Linked DNA regions of Oryzias latipes. The protein of the gene in region 1 interacts with the protein of each later gene in a pairwise test. Links are inferred from orthologs where the notes say so. Each region holds a gene or a part of one and is shown on either strand. Other genes may lie near its edges.

Region 1 (3,500 bases):
GCTCAACGCTGGGCTCTGTAATGTTACAAGAGCCAGCAGAAAGTGTCTGTTATTATATTTATAAAATACAGTTTTTATTAATGTTCTATGAATTCTTTTTGTGGCATTTATCCTCCACGTCTTAAAGTTCGCTCTGTGAAAATATGGTCTGACTTTAAACCGGTCCGTGATCAGATGTAGGCGACACACAGCAATAAAGCATCTGAGTATTTTAGCATGATAGCATGGTTGCATGATAGCATGGTAGCATCAGTGTCACCACATCGCTGTCTCCATATCAACCCTCTTCCCTAAACATTCTGTTGCTGCTGTAAGTCCAGCAGGGACACACACAAAAAGGGCTTATTCCTATTATTGTTGTTTGGTCTTATATGTGTGTTTGATAGTAACAATTGTTTCTTTATTGTGCAACTGAATGTGAATTTCTGTAAATTGAAAAATGTGCAATAAAGGTTATTGAGAGAAAAAAATTCTCCTCTAGGTCTTTCTGGAGCCTGGTACAAACCCTCACATGTTCTGCTGCTTCATCGGGTTAAACTAAAAGCAGAGGCAACTAGCAGAAGTTATGGGGTAAGGGGCAATTCTCGCGGTTCCTGTGCTTGTTTTTTTTTCCCCTCTGCCTCACAAAAGGCATTAAACCTCACATAAATCAGCCTTTGGTCCCTCACAAGGGTGGCTGGTGCAGGCATCAAAAACATGAGGGACAAAGAAACATCACACAAAGTTCTTTATGAGATTCATTTCAACGCATTTGTATAAAGCTCAAATGGCCTCACAGCATTTACTAACCTGGTGTGACATGATTTCTGCAAAGTCTGACTGAAGCGATCTCAGATAACATCTGGAACCTGCTATATGTACCACAGTCCTCGGATGAAGGACATCAGGTAGATTCATGCATGAACAAACAGCCTCTGAGCTCTTGAGACTTCAATAAATACTAAACAAAGTCCAGTGTAGCCGCACTTCTTCTAACTTGGAGCCGAAACACCCCGTTTACATCCTAAGCCCCAAACAGAGTTTGTAGTGTTTACTCACTTCTTTGTGTGAAATGGCGAGTTCTTCCTCCAAAGCGCTGCATCGCTCCAGAGCAACACGAAGACGCTCTCTTACCTTCAAAGGTGGAACATAAACCTTTTTAACTTCATTCATCCTTATCAAGCACAGTATTCTACCAGGAGCTGTTGGACATTCCCTACAAAAACACACCTTCTCATCAAGGGCTTTGTGGTGTTCAAAAAGTGACTTGAGAGCCTTGAGGACCTCCACCTCGCTGGAGACACCAGCAGGAGACTGAGCCTGCCTCTTCACCACGGTCATCCTCAGACTGCGCTCGTGACGCGACACCAGGCACTCCAGGTGTTCCAGCAGGAGCTGCACACACCACAGACAGGGAGGACCAGAGTGAAGCCTCGCTCCTGCTCTCAAACTACACATTTTGGAAACCATGAACTGTTTTTTGTCTCCATAAGATTTGTTGTCAATGTTAAACAGTAAAAGAGTTTTTGTTTTGACAACTGTTGCTAGCTAGATCCAAGGAAAAAGGTGTGCATCTCACTCACCCGGGTGTTGTTCCTCTCCGCCTTCAACTCGGCGATCTCCTCCTCTTTCTCCAGAAGCTGCTCCCGGCACACGTTCACCTCCTTTGTTAGTGCAGCAAACTCCTAAAGAAGCATGAAGCACAAAGAGAACAGGGGGCATGCAGCCGTTACTGATGCGCTGTGCACCGTGAGGCTTCATGGCGGAGAAACCCTCCGCTCTCATGTAAACACAGACAGACATTTCAATCACAGCAGAACTCTGGCATCATAGGAAACCCAGAAATACAGAGAGCACTGCAGAGAAGGTTTCACTAACTCAGAGAAGGTTTCACTAACTCAGATAATGTGTCACTAGCTCAGAGAAGGTTTCACTAACTCAGAGAAGGTTTCTCTAACTCAGAAAAGGTTTCACTAACTCAGAGAATGTGTCACTAGCTCAGAAAAGGTTTCACTAACTCAGAGAAGGTTTCTCTAACTCAGAAAAGGTTTCTCTAACTCAGAAAAGGTTTCACTAACTCAGAGAATGTGTCACTAGCTCAGAGAAGGTTTCTCTAACTCAGAAAAGGTTTCACTAACTCAGAGAATGTGTCACTAGCTCAGAGAAGGTTTCTCTAACTCAGAGAAGGTTTCTCTAACTCAGAAAAGGTTTCTCTAACTCAGAAAAGGTTTCTCTAACTCAGAAAAGGTTTCACTAACTCAGAGAATGTGTCACTAGCTCAGAGAAGGTTTCTCTAACTCAGAGAAGGTTTCTCTAACTCAGAAAAGGTTTCTCTAACTCAGAAAAGGTTTCACTAACTCAGAGAATGTGTCACTAGCTCAGAGAAGGTTTCTCTAACTCAGAAAAGGTTTCACTAACTCAGAGAATGTGTCACTAGCTCAGAGAAGGTTTCTCTAACTCAGAGAAGGTTTCTCTAACTCAGAAAAGGTTTCTCTAACTCAGAGAAGGTGTCTCTAACTCAGAGAAGGTTTCTCTAACTCAGAGAAGGTTTCTCTAACTCAGAGAAGGTTTCTCTAACTCAGAGAAGGTTTCTCTAACTCAGAGAAGGTTTCTCTAACTCAGAGAAGGTTTCTCTAACTCAGAGAAGGTTTCTCTAACTCAGAGATGGTTTCTCTAACACAGAGAAGGTTTCTCTAACTCAGAGAAGGTGTCTCTAACTCAGAGAAGGTTTCAGTAACTCAAAGGAAGATTTCATTAACTCAGAGAATGTGTCACTAGCTCACAGAAGGTTTCACTAACTCAGGGAAGGTTTCACTAACTCAGGGAAGGTTTCACTAACTCAGGGAAGGTTTCACTAACTCAGGGAAGGTTTCACTAACTCAGGGAAGGTTTCACTAACTCAGAGAAGGTTTCTCTAACTCAGAGAAGGTTTCACTAACTCAGGGAAGGTTTCACTAATTCAGAGAAGGTGTCACTAACTCAGGGAAGGTTTCACTAACTCAGGGAAGGTTTCACTAACTCGGGGAAGGTTTCACTAACTCAGGGAAGGTTTCACTAACTCAGAGAAGATTTCACTAACTCAGAGAAGTATCACTAACTCAGAAAAGGTTTCACTAACTCAGGGAAGCTTTCACTAACTCAGGGAAGGTTTCACTAACTCAGAGAAGGTGTCACTAACTCAGGGAAGGTTTCACTAACTCAAGGAAGGTTTCACTAACTCAGAGAAGGTTTCACTAACTCAGGGAAGGTGTCACTAACTCAGGGAAGGTTTCACTAACTCAGGGAAGGTTTCACTAACTCAGAGAAGGTTTCACTAACTCAGGGAAGGTGTCACTAACTCAGGGAAGGTTTCACTAACTCAGGGAAGGTTTCACTAACTCAGGGAAGGTTTCACTAACTCAGAGAAGGTTTCACTAACTCAGGGAAGGTTTCACTAACTCAGAGAAGGTTTCACTAACTCAGGGAAGGTTCCACTAACTCAGAGAAGGTTCCACTAACTCAGAGAAGGTTTCACTAACTCA
Region 2 (4,002 bases), on another chromosome or scaffold:
GACCCACCTCGAGCACAGACTAAACCCCGCCCAAAGCCAATTACTTAAAACCATTGACTGTATATGAGAACTGGACTGAGTGAATGTGACGTCACCCATGGAAAATGGTTTACTTATGGCTCCAACAAAATGTAATCAATTCAGTCGTCTGTTTTTTGCGATACAGACACCACCGTGTTGGAGTCAGCAGTGATATGTCCAAATTGGACCCCTGCATTTCTATGGCGACAACTCTCACCAATCGGTACTGTTGGAAGTCCACATTTCTACCACCTGTCAATCAAGTTTACAAAACTTTGGCCGCTGAATTTTATTGAGGCATCTGATGGGTCAGCTTATAGCTTGAATAACCTTTACAACAGAAAAAATATCATGAAAGAACTAAGATTATTGAGAATTATGATAATCTTTTGATTTTTAGAGCATTCCCAGTGGTCTTTCAATTATGATTATGCTGTTTTTAGCCAAAATAATTTTTTTTTGGCTAAAAGTTTCTGCAGAGTGGCAGGAGTTCATTAGAAATTCACCTCTGAGTTTTGGGTTAGGGGTTAAGCTAAAGATGACGTCTGTCACCCACAGCAGAGAGTTCTCTGTTTACACTCTCTCTCGCTACCTTTCAGGCCCTTACACCCCCAACCTAACATTACTGTGGATGATGGTGAAGCTCTTCAACCGTACAGTCTAGATCCAGATTCCAGCTCAGAATGGAGCAGGGAGCTTTTGGCCCACCCAGCGTATTTTCTACATCACAAATATCCTCTTTTTCAAACTGTTTTTTGTCTCATCTGCTCCTGATTCACAGCAATTTGAATAAAGAAATACTCAGAAATGCAATTATAACCTTAATTCTCTTCAAAGTTGTCCTCCATCTTCAGAAAAATGCCATAAGAACATGTTAAAAACACCACAAAACTGTGATTTTCTATGAAAATCACAGTTTTCATAGAAGTGGGTCTTTAAAAAAAAAGGTTTCAGAGCAAGAATAGTTATTCTGAAAAATAGAATGACTGAAGAACTTCTGTTTATTTCTCTATAGAAGTCTATGCGATTTTGGCCTGTTTGGGACGCCAGGAGGGAGGGGTCACTCAGTTCAGTTCTCATTTACAGTCAATGGTTGAATCCTGCAAAACATGCATAAGATAGGCCGAAGCTTTCTTCCATGCATGACAGTATAATCTAAAAAAGAAATGGACATGCGAACAATAAAAAATTTAAAGAGGAAATCTTTAAGCTTTCCAGGTAATTTGTTTTTTATTCTTAAAAGCAACCCTAAAACATGTTCAATTGTAGGCAGCTGAGCTAATTATTTTATTTTATTTCTGCAGGAATGAATATCTCATAATCAAAGTCCCTTAATCTCAGTGAAAATATGGTTAATATATAAAATAAAAAAACAACAACAATAGTCTCGGTTTGCAAAATTAGTGTTAAACTGTCAAAGAAATTCCTTTAATCCGGCCCAACTGACCTGTGACCGATATCCAGGGCCTTCATATCAAAAGCTTCACCGGACCTGAGCTGCAGCTTCTGCTGGTACATGCTTTCCAGCTCTGCCATGGTGCGTTCGTGGGCCCTCTTCAGCTCCTCCAGCTTGCTGTAGTATTCCTCATTGGAGAAGAAGATTTCACTCAGGTCCAGGCGGTCGACGGCTGCCCTGAAGCTGCCCCCCACGTGAGCTCCTCCCATCCCCAGACAGTCCTCATCACAGAAATCCGAGCCCGAGTCCCAAAACTCCAGCTGAAATGCCCAAAGGTCACTCAAGGATCATCATGTTAATTAACAGGTATTTGAAGGCTTCCTACATGAATTTATTAAAAGTTTGTTTTCACTTCTATGCCCTAAAGAACACTGCTGCCCTGTTGAGGGGCAGTAAGGTCTTCAGGACTAAGCTCATTATCCTGCAGTCACAATGATCAGAGCCATATGGTTGGAACACAAAGGTGAGCTCAGCATGAAGGAGCTCCGCTGACATCTACTCCTCCTAAAGTGTCCGGCCTCCATTAAAAAGGATGTTTGTCAGAAGCGTTTCTGAAAATTAGACCAACTTGCTACGAGGTGTTTTTTCCACAGAAGGTCATTGCTGTTAAAAGGATATAAAAGAGATTACCGACCCAACAAGACTTCTGGTAATCTAGTGAAGACAGAAATCCAAAAATAGACGGGACAACAAATGACAGATCAAATCCCTTCCACCTGGCTGACCTGAAACTGTCAACATCCTGTTAACTGGACATAACCTGTCTCAGGTCAGAGGGAGCTGCACTCAGACTACAGGAAAACAACAGCTTCACCCACCTTCACATTGTAATAAATAAATAAATAAATAAAATATAGTATAACAACCTCCAATCTAAAGTGTATACAAAGTTTCTATATATCTCAATAAATACAGAGTTGTCTTAACTATTTTTAGAAAGATTATTATTTTGAAAGTGTGACTTTTATTGTGAAATATTTTTAAACATGTGTTTACCTCTTTCTCATAGTCCCGGTTGTCCAGCTGGCCTGCAGTCGCGTGCGTTAGGACTGCCCCGCGCTCGTATGACGCAAGCGGCGCCTTGGTGTGCGGGTCCACCGGCGCCTTCAGACAGGAAGTTAATAAAACGTTCGTCCGGTGAGGATTCGCCATCTTTTTGTTGAAACAGTTTTTTTTTTTTAAAAAAGCGCCTTGATGAGGTTCTGTTACTTAGTTCGTTCCCCGGAGGGAACAGTCGTTGTCAGGTTGGCTGGCTTCTTAGCAACGGAGAAGCATCGTTAGGAAGGAAGTGACGTAAAACGGAAGCAAAGAACAAAGCTCTGATACAAAATAAAAGCGTTGGAAACGTGTACATTTTTAAACTGAACGCTTAAAATGAATCGAGTAAACACAGGTTCTGACCATTAAAATGTATATATTTTTTTCTTATTTGATTAATTGAATGAAAACGGCTACTTAAATAAAAAAAAGTATCTTAATTCAAATAATAAAATTACTTATGCATTGAATTTATTTTGCATAGAAGCAGGACTTTTTTTTTGAACCAGGCCATGATCATCACCCAATTTTTGAAGACACACAAAAATTCTATCTAAAGATTTTACATTTTTAACCAATTCTATAGAAAAGCAGCACCGTCCACGTCTTGGATGAGCATGAGGTCAGAGGCACCGGCGCCTGGAGTCTAATTTTTTTTAAGGTATGAGTGTTAGACTGACCAGGAATCACTTTAAATTCTATTGTATGCGTGACAATGACAAATAAAGATCTGTCATTACTCTTTAATCAAGAGAAAACCTTATTTTATAACAGCAAATCAACATTTTACATTTAGGTCATGTTTTATAATGTTACCATTAGTCTGATAAGTACTAGAAACCAGATTTTATGCATCTTTTCATGCTGCAGAAATTATTTGGTAAATACGTGTTAACTCTGCGTTAATATTTCACATACTTTTTTCAAATTAGCGGTTTTCAAGACATACAATTTAAAAAAAATGAAGACCAGAACATGTTTCTAAATCTGTGTACTACACTTTAGTGCAACATAAAGACAAAGACAAAGAAAGAAAGACAAAAAGAGGCAGCAGTGTCAACAAAAAAAACCCCACAGCCTTTTATTAAATTAGGCAATGCAATAACTACAGCAGAAATCGGAGCAGACTGCTGTCGACGTGATGCTCTGATCCCTCGCAGAACAAACGGGCTTCAGAAACCGGACAGACCTATCGAGTGTTCACCTGGAACCAGAACACAAAAATTAATTTCCAATCATACTTCTGTAAAATGAAAAAGGGAATCCAGTTCTGAGTCTTACCACGTCATCGATCTTGAGGATGCTACGGACCGTTTCTGTGGCCAGAGTCAACGCGCTGATGGAAACCAGCACGGGCTGCACCACCAGCTCCTCCAAGATGTTTGAAATCCCCCCCTGTCCAAAAAATAAATAAATCTGTCAAGCTGTCAACCGCGCACAGACGGAGCAAAAGGAAAGCACGCCGACCTTGCGGACGTTGATGCCGG
Region 3 (4,231 bases), on another chromosome or scaffold:
GATGAAACAAATTTTCAAAACATGAGCTTATTGATCAGAGCTGTGGAGGTTTTTCCTTTAGCCTCGTCTGCACTGTCAATCTTTCCATAACTTTGCAAAATATCTGGGAATGCTTCTATAAGCTGCTGAAATACTGACGGGAGGGCCGATTATGGGATGGGACTAACTTAATCAGGCAGCTCTAATGTGTGATCTGGTAATGCCGAAGTCTGATTTTCCATTAAAATGCTGCCTGTCAGACTCCGTATGATTTAGATTTACTCACAAGATGGTATTCCTTTGATAAAAAATATTCTAAACCACCAGATACTCACACACAGAACAATCAACTGCAGTGTGCTCACATTCAAAGAATAAGAGTCATTCTGCAGAGTTCAACATTTAAAGAAAGCAGTCAAGAAAAAAGAAAAAAAACGTGACAAAGATGTAACACAAGACTAAAGGCTTCAAATGAGTCATCACACCCCAAATGATGCGAAATAGCAGGTGGAAAGGTGCCTGACTGTCAACAGCAATCGTGCACGCACACGCAGACAGAAGGGCGCATGGACGTGCGTGTGCACGTGAGCAGACGAGTGCGCAAACATACAGTAAACGCTGCAAAGGTGTCATCAATAATGCATCAGCGCTTCATGTTTATGCAATTCTCAGGGCAACCCGAGCCATGTATATACGGGCGAGAGCCGTGCTCGCAGCAACTGCACCGCACGTAATAAGGCGTTTGTCTGTCAGCTCAGACGCACGCGCCGCGTCTCTACGCCTGTGGAAAGATTAGTGTTATTTCTTAAAAAAAAAAAAAAAAAAAAGTCTTCAGCACATACCTGTTAAAGCACTATTTCTTTGATTTTGGTTTATGCAGGCTTGAAGGGCTTCATGATAACACGGCACTAAGGCGGCACTGATATGCAAATTATCAGCTCCAGCTGAATGCTAGGGCATTTATTATTCATAAATTACTCATGTTTATGCAAATTACGGTATGCAGAAACACTACTGGTGGCGGAGTGGCTCTGGCTAAAACATACTTTCTGAGTCTGTTGGAGACCATCTACACTGGTACAATGTTACAATAGCAAAAAAAATAAACAAGGATGTTTGTACTTTAAATTATGTTTCAAAATGATTGTGTGCACATCAGTGAGTCCATTACATTTAATTATTCTGATTTTGTTTAGGAGGAAAGACTTAAAGGTCAATATTTACAGAAAAATAATTGCTTTCCACCTCAACAATTTGTTTGTCCAATTCATGCCGTTAAAAATAAGTGAGGTAAAAATGTGTACACTTCAACATTTTGTTAACTTTATATTAAAGAAACATAATTATAAATAAGTTTAAATAAAATGAGAAATTGAGTATTTCATAAGGAAAAATCATAGCACGCACTAATACAGGAAGCACGGTAAATGCGTCATCAACAAGGGTCCGCATTACGTAAATATCGCGCGACGTCCTCACTACTACTTGGGGGTGAACAACACACAGCCCGATTTAACTACTTTTACACTACGCTGATTACTTTAATCGTTCAAGGATTTCCGTGTGGTAAAATACATAAAGCTACTTTAGGATTATGTTGTGGTTTTAGCTCTCGTAAATCAGAAGCCGCCATGTATCACAACAGCTCTCAGCGAAAGTACTGGATCTTCAAAAGTGAGGCTGAACTTGAGCAGAAAAGATGCAGTGCCAATGAGGCATTTCGTAAAAAAGTCATAGAAAGTGGGAAGGTAGGTAACATTCTTTTAAGCATTTTAAAACGTTTAATGTAAACGGTTTGGGGGAAAAACGCGATTTTCTTTTTTAATTAAACATTTATTTGAAATCAGGCAGGTATGTATGAGTCCATGTTCTTGAAACGGAACGAAGAAGACGTTTTATTCCGCCATTATGAGAGGAGACTCCTGGACTTCTGCAGCGCTTTTAAGCCTCCAATGCCCAAGTCTGTTGTGGTGCGTGTGTGTCTCATTTCTTTTTTTTCATGTGTACAGACTCGACTAACTCTTACTGGAGCCCATCTTTTTTTCTAGGGCACTGCCATCATGTACTTCCGGAGGTTCTACCTCAACAACTCTGTTATGGAGCACCACCCAAGGATCATCATGTCAGTGACTGTCACTGTGGAAAGGATAAGACATTAAACATTCGGTTCAAAGATGCGAATGGTTCATTCTAAAAGTTTAAATGCAAATGTGATGTTTCTGCAGGAAGATGGGAACGATTCCGTTTGTTCATATATTACAAACATGCATGTACGTTTCCAGCTGTTGACGTACCTTCTTGTCCAGGCTGACGTGTGCATACCTGGCCTGCAAAGTGGACGAGTTCAACGTGTCCAGCACCCAGTTTGTGGGCAATCTCCTGCATGAGACGCCAGCTGGACAAGAACGGGTTCTTCAGCAAATCCTGGAGTATGAACTGCTGTTAATCCAACAACTCAGTTTTCATCTCGTGGTCCACAACCCCTACAGACCGCTAGAGGGTTTGCTCATCGACCTCAAGGTTTGTACCTTACAGAAGAGAGCTGAATGTCACTCCAGATCGCCAGTTTTTAATCCGTGTTCTTTGTCTTTTAGACTCGCTATCCTGCACTGGAGAACCCAGAGTCACTGAGGAAGAGTGCTGATGACTTTCTGACCCAGGCGGTCATGACGGATGCCGGACTGCTGTGTTCTCCCTCTCAGATCGCTCTGACAGCTATTCTGAATAGCGCTTTAAGAGCTGGCCTCAGCATGGAAAGGCAGGTTTGCTTTAGCCTTAACAACAATGTATGTGAAATTCAACTTAATTAGAAAAACAAATTAGGTTTTGCAAGTTGAAACTTGGAATTTAAATGGAAAAGGTATACATTATTCTGGAAAGAAATTGATCAAATGAAGGTGGTGACAAATATTTTGAAGAAAATTCTCTGAACATTTCCTCCTTTTCAGATATTTCTAAATTATAAGCTCAGTTGGTGCAAAAAAGTTTTTTTCTTATATATATTTTTTAAAACTAAAATCCTATTTTATTTTCCTTCCCCAGCTACCTGACTGAGTGCTTGGGACTGAAAGACGACAAAGATTCCCTCTCAAAGATTTTCGACTTAATGAGGCGTAAGTCAACTTGCACTTCAGTGTAACACCACTAGATGGCAGAGTTGTGCTGTTATTCCTGTATGATGTTTTGAATTCATGCGTTTGGCACATGCAGGAACAAAAAGCCTCCTCAAGAAGTATGAGCTCCCCAAAGCAGAGGAGGTGAACGTTTACAAACAGAAGCTGGAGAGGATTCATGCAGAGTTTAGCAGTTCAAGCAAGTAAGAAACATAAAAACACACATGAGCTCTTTTAAGTCAGGATTTCAATCTTTAAACATTGTCAATCTGTGATTCCTGCTGCATTATTTACCCACAACAATAGCGACCGAGAACAACAATCCACGCGTATGTAGTAACCGTTTATTTCAGCCAGGTTGTTGTATCTAAGATGCAAAAGGTTCAGTATTGGGTAGAAAAATAAAAATGAACACATCCTCGTCTGTTGTATGAAACCCCTACATCAGTGGTACAGCCGATGAGTCGCCTGGGCTCATCTGCCAACACTCGGTGAGGTCCGTGGTATCTTCAAGTGCAACTACAGTAAACAGTTTGGTAAACTATGACAGGCACAGATCCAGACGTTGCAGCTGCTTAGAACATGAAGGGAGGCAAACAAAGCCGACCCTTTATGACTTTGAAGTTTAGAAATCGCTGCATGGCGGGACTTTTCAGGGTGAATCGGTGGGAAAAACAGTCAGAGCAGAGGTGTACTCGGAGGACAAAGCAAAAACGCCATCTTGTTGTAATGGCGGAGAAACGAGGAGCTACAAGAAATCCAGGCTTTCAATGACATCAAAGGCATAAAAGGGGTTTAGGTGATGGTTGTTGGAGCAGCAGATACGTAGGCCCAAACATTGTCGCTGTATCCATTCAGGGTTAATGCATGCACAAGGCAGGCTACAGGTGTATACTACAAACCTTTAGACTAATCTCTGCTCCGCTATATCCTACACAAACACTTCTTTACAAGCCTAAGTAGGTAATAACAGACAAAAGCAGCGTAGAAAAAAAGCAGGAAGTGGTTTGGGTGCTGTAAGCAGGTTCATACATGAAGACAGTAACGGATATAAATAGTTTGGAAGAAGAGAACTTTGTCGAATCGGGGGATGTCGGTGAGCAGAAATGGAGTTAAGGCTTGTGTTGATTCGTTTCTTT

What was found.
Region 2: the proteins of liprin-alpha-1 (region 1) and fam161a interact in binary tests that used the Homo sapiens proteins (3 or more experiments, as listed by UniProt). The link is inferred for Oryzias latipes from reciprocal best matches to the Homo sapiens genes PPFIA1 and FAM161A.
Region 3: the proteins of liprin-alpha-1 (region 1) and ccnh interact in binary tests that used the Homo sapiens proteins (3 or more experiments, as listed by UniProt). The link is inferred for Oryzias latipes from reciprocal best matches to the Homo sapiens genes PPFIA1 and CCNH.

What each region holds. Positions count from the first base shown.
Region 1 is NC_019861.2:2,121,644-2,125,143, reverse strand, and holds part of liprin-alpha-1, read right to left. Parts: intron 1,665-3,500; coding exon 1,563-1,664; intron 1,375-1,562; coding exon 1,210-1,374; intron 1,114-1,209; coding exon 1,039-1,113; intron 1-1,038. UniProt on the Homo sapiens protein: May regulate the disassembly of focal adhesions. May localize receptor-like tyrosine phosphatases type 2A at specific sites on the plasma membrane, possibly regulating their interaction with the extracellular environment and their association with substrates.
Region 2 is NC_019859.2:4,112,924-4,116,925, reverse strand, and holds the start of fam161a (protein FAM161A), read right to left. Parts: upstream 2,801-4,002; 5' UTR 2,630-2,800; coding exon 2,474-2,629; intron 2,081-2,473; exon of another isoform or gene 1,738-2,080; coding exon 1,469-1,737; intron 1-1,468. Other genes in the region: cct4 (T-complex protein 1 subunit delta), read right to left, coding at 3,705-3,719, 3,797-3,910, 3,983-4,002. UniProt on the Homo sapiens protein: Involved in ciliogenesis.
Region 3 is NC_019867.2:14,756,282-14,760,512, reverse strand, and holds the start of ccnh (cyclin-H), read left to right. Parts: upstream 1-1,431; 5' UTR 1,432-1,610; coding exon 1,611-1,727; intron 1,728-1,826; coding exon 1,827-1,949; intron 1,950-2,027; coding exon 2,028-2,101; intron 2,102-2,285; coding exon 2,286-2,499; intron 2,500-2,573; coding exon 2,574-2,737; intron 2,738-3,021; coding exon 3,022-3,092; intron 3,093-3,189; coding exon 3,190-3,295; intron 3,296-3,422; exon of another isoform or gene 3,423-4,231. UniProt on the Homo sapiens protein: Regulates CDK7, the catalytic subunit of the CDK-activating kinase (CAK) enzymatic complex. CAK activates the cyclin-associated kinases CDK1, CDK2, CDK4 and CDK6 by threonine phosphorylation.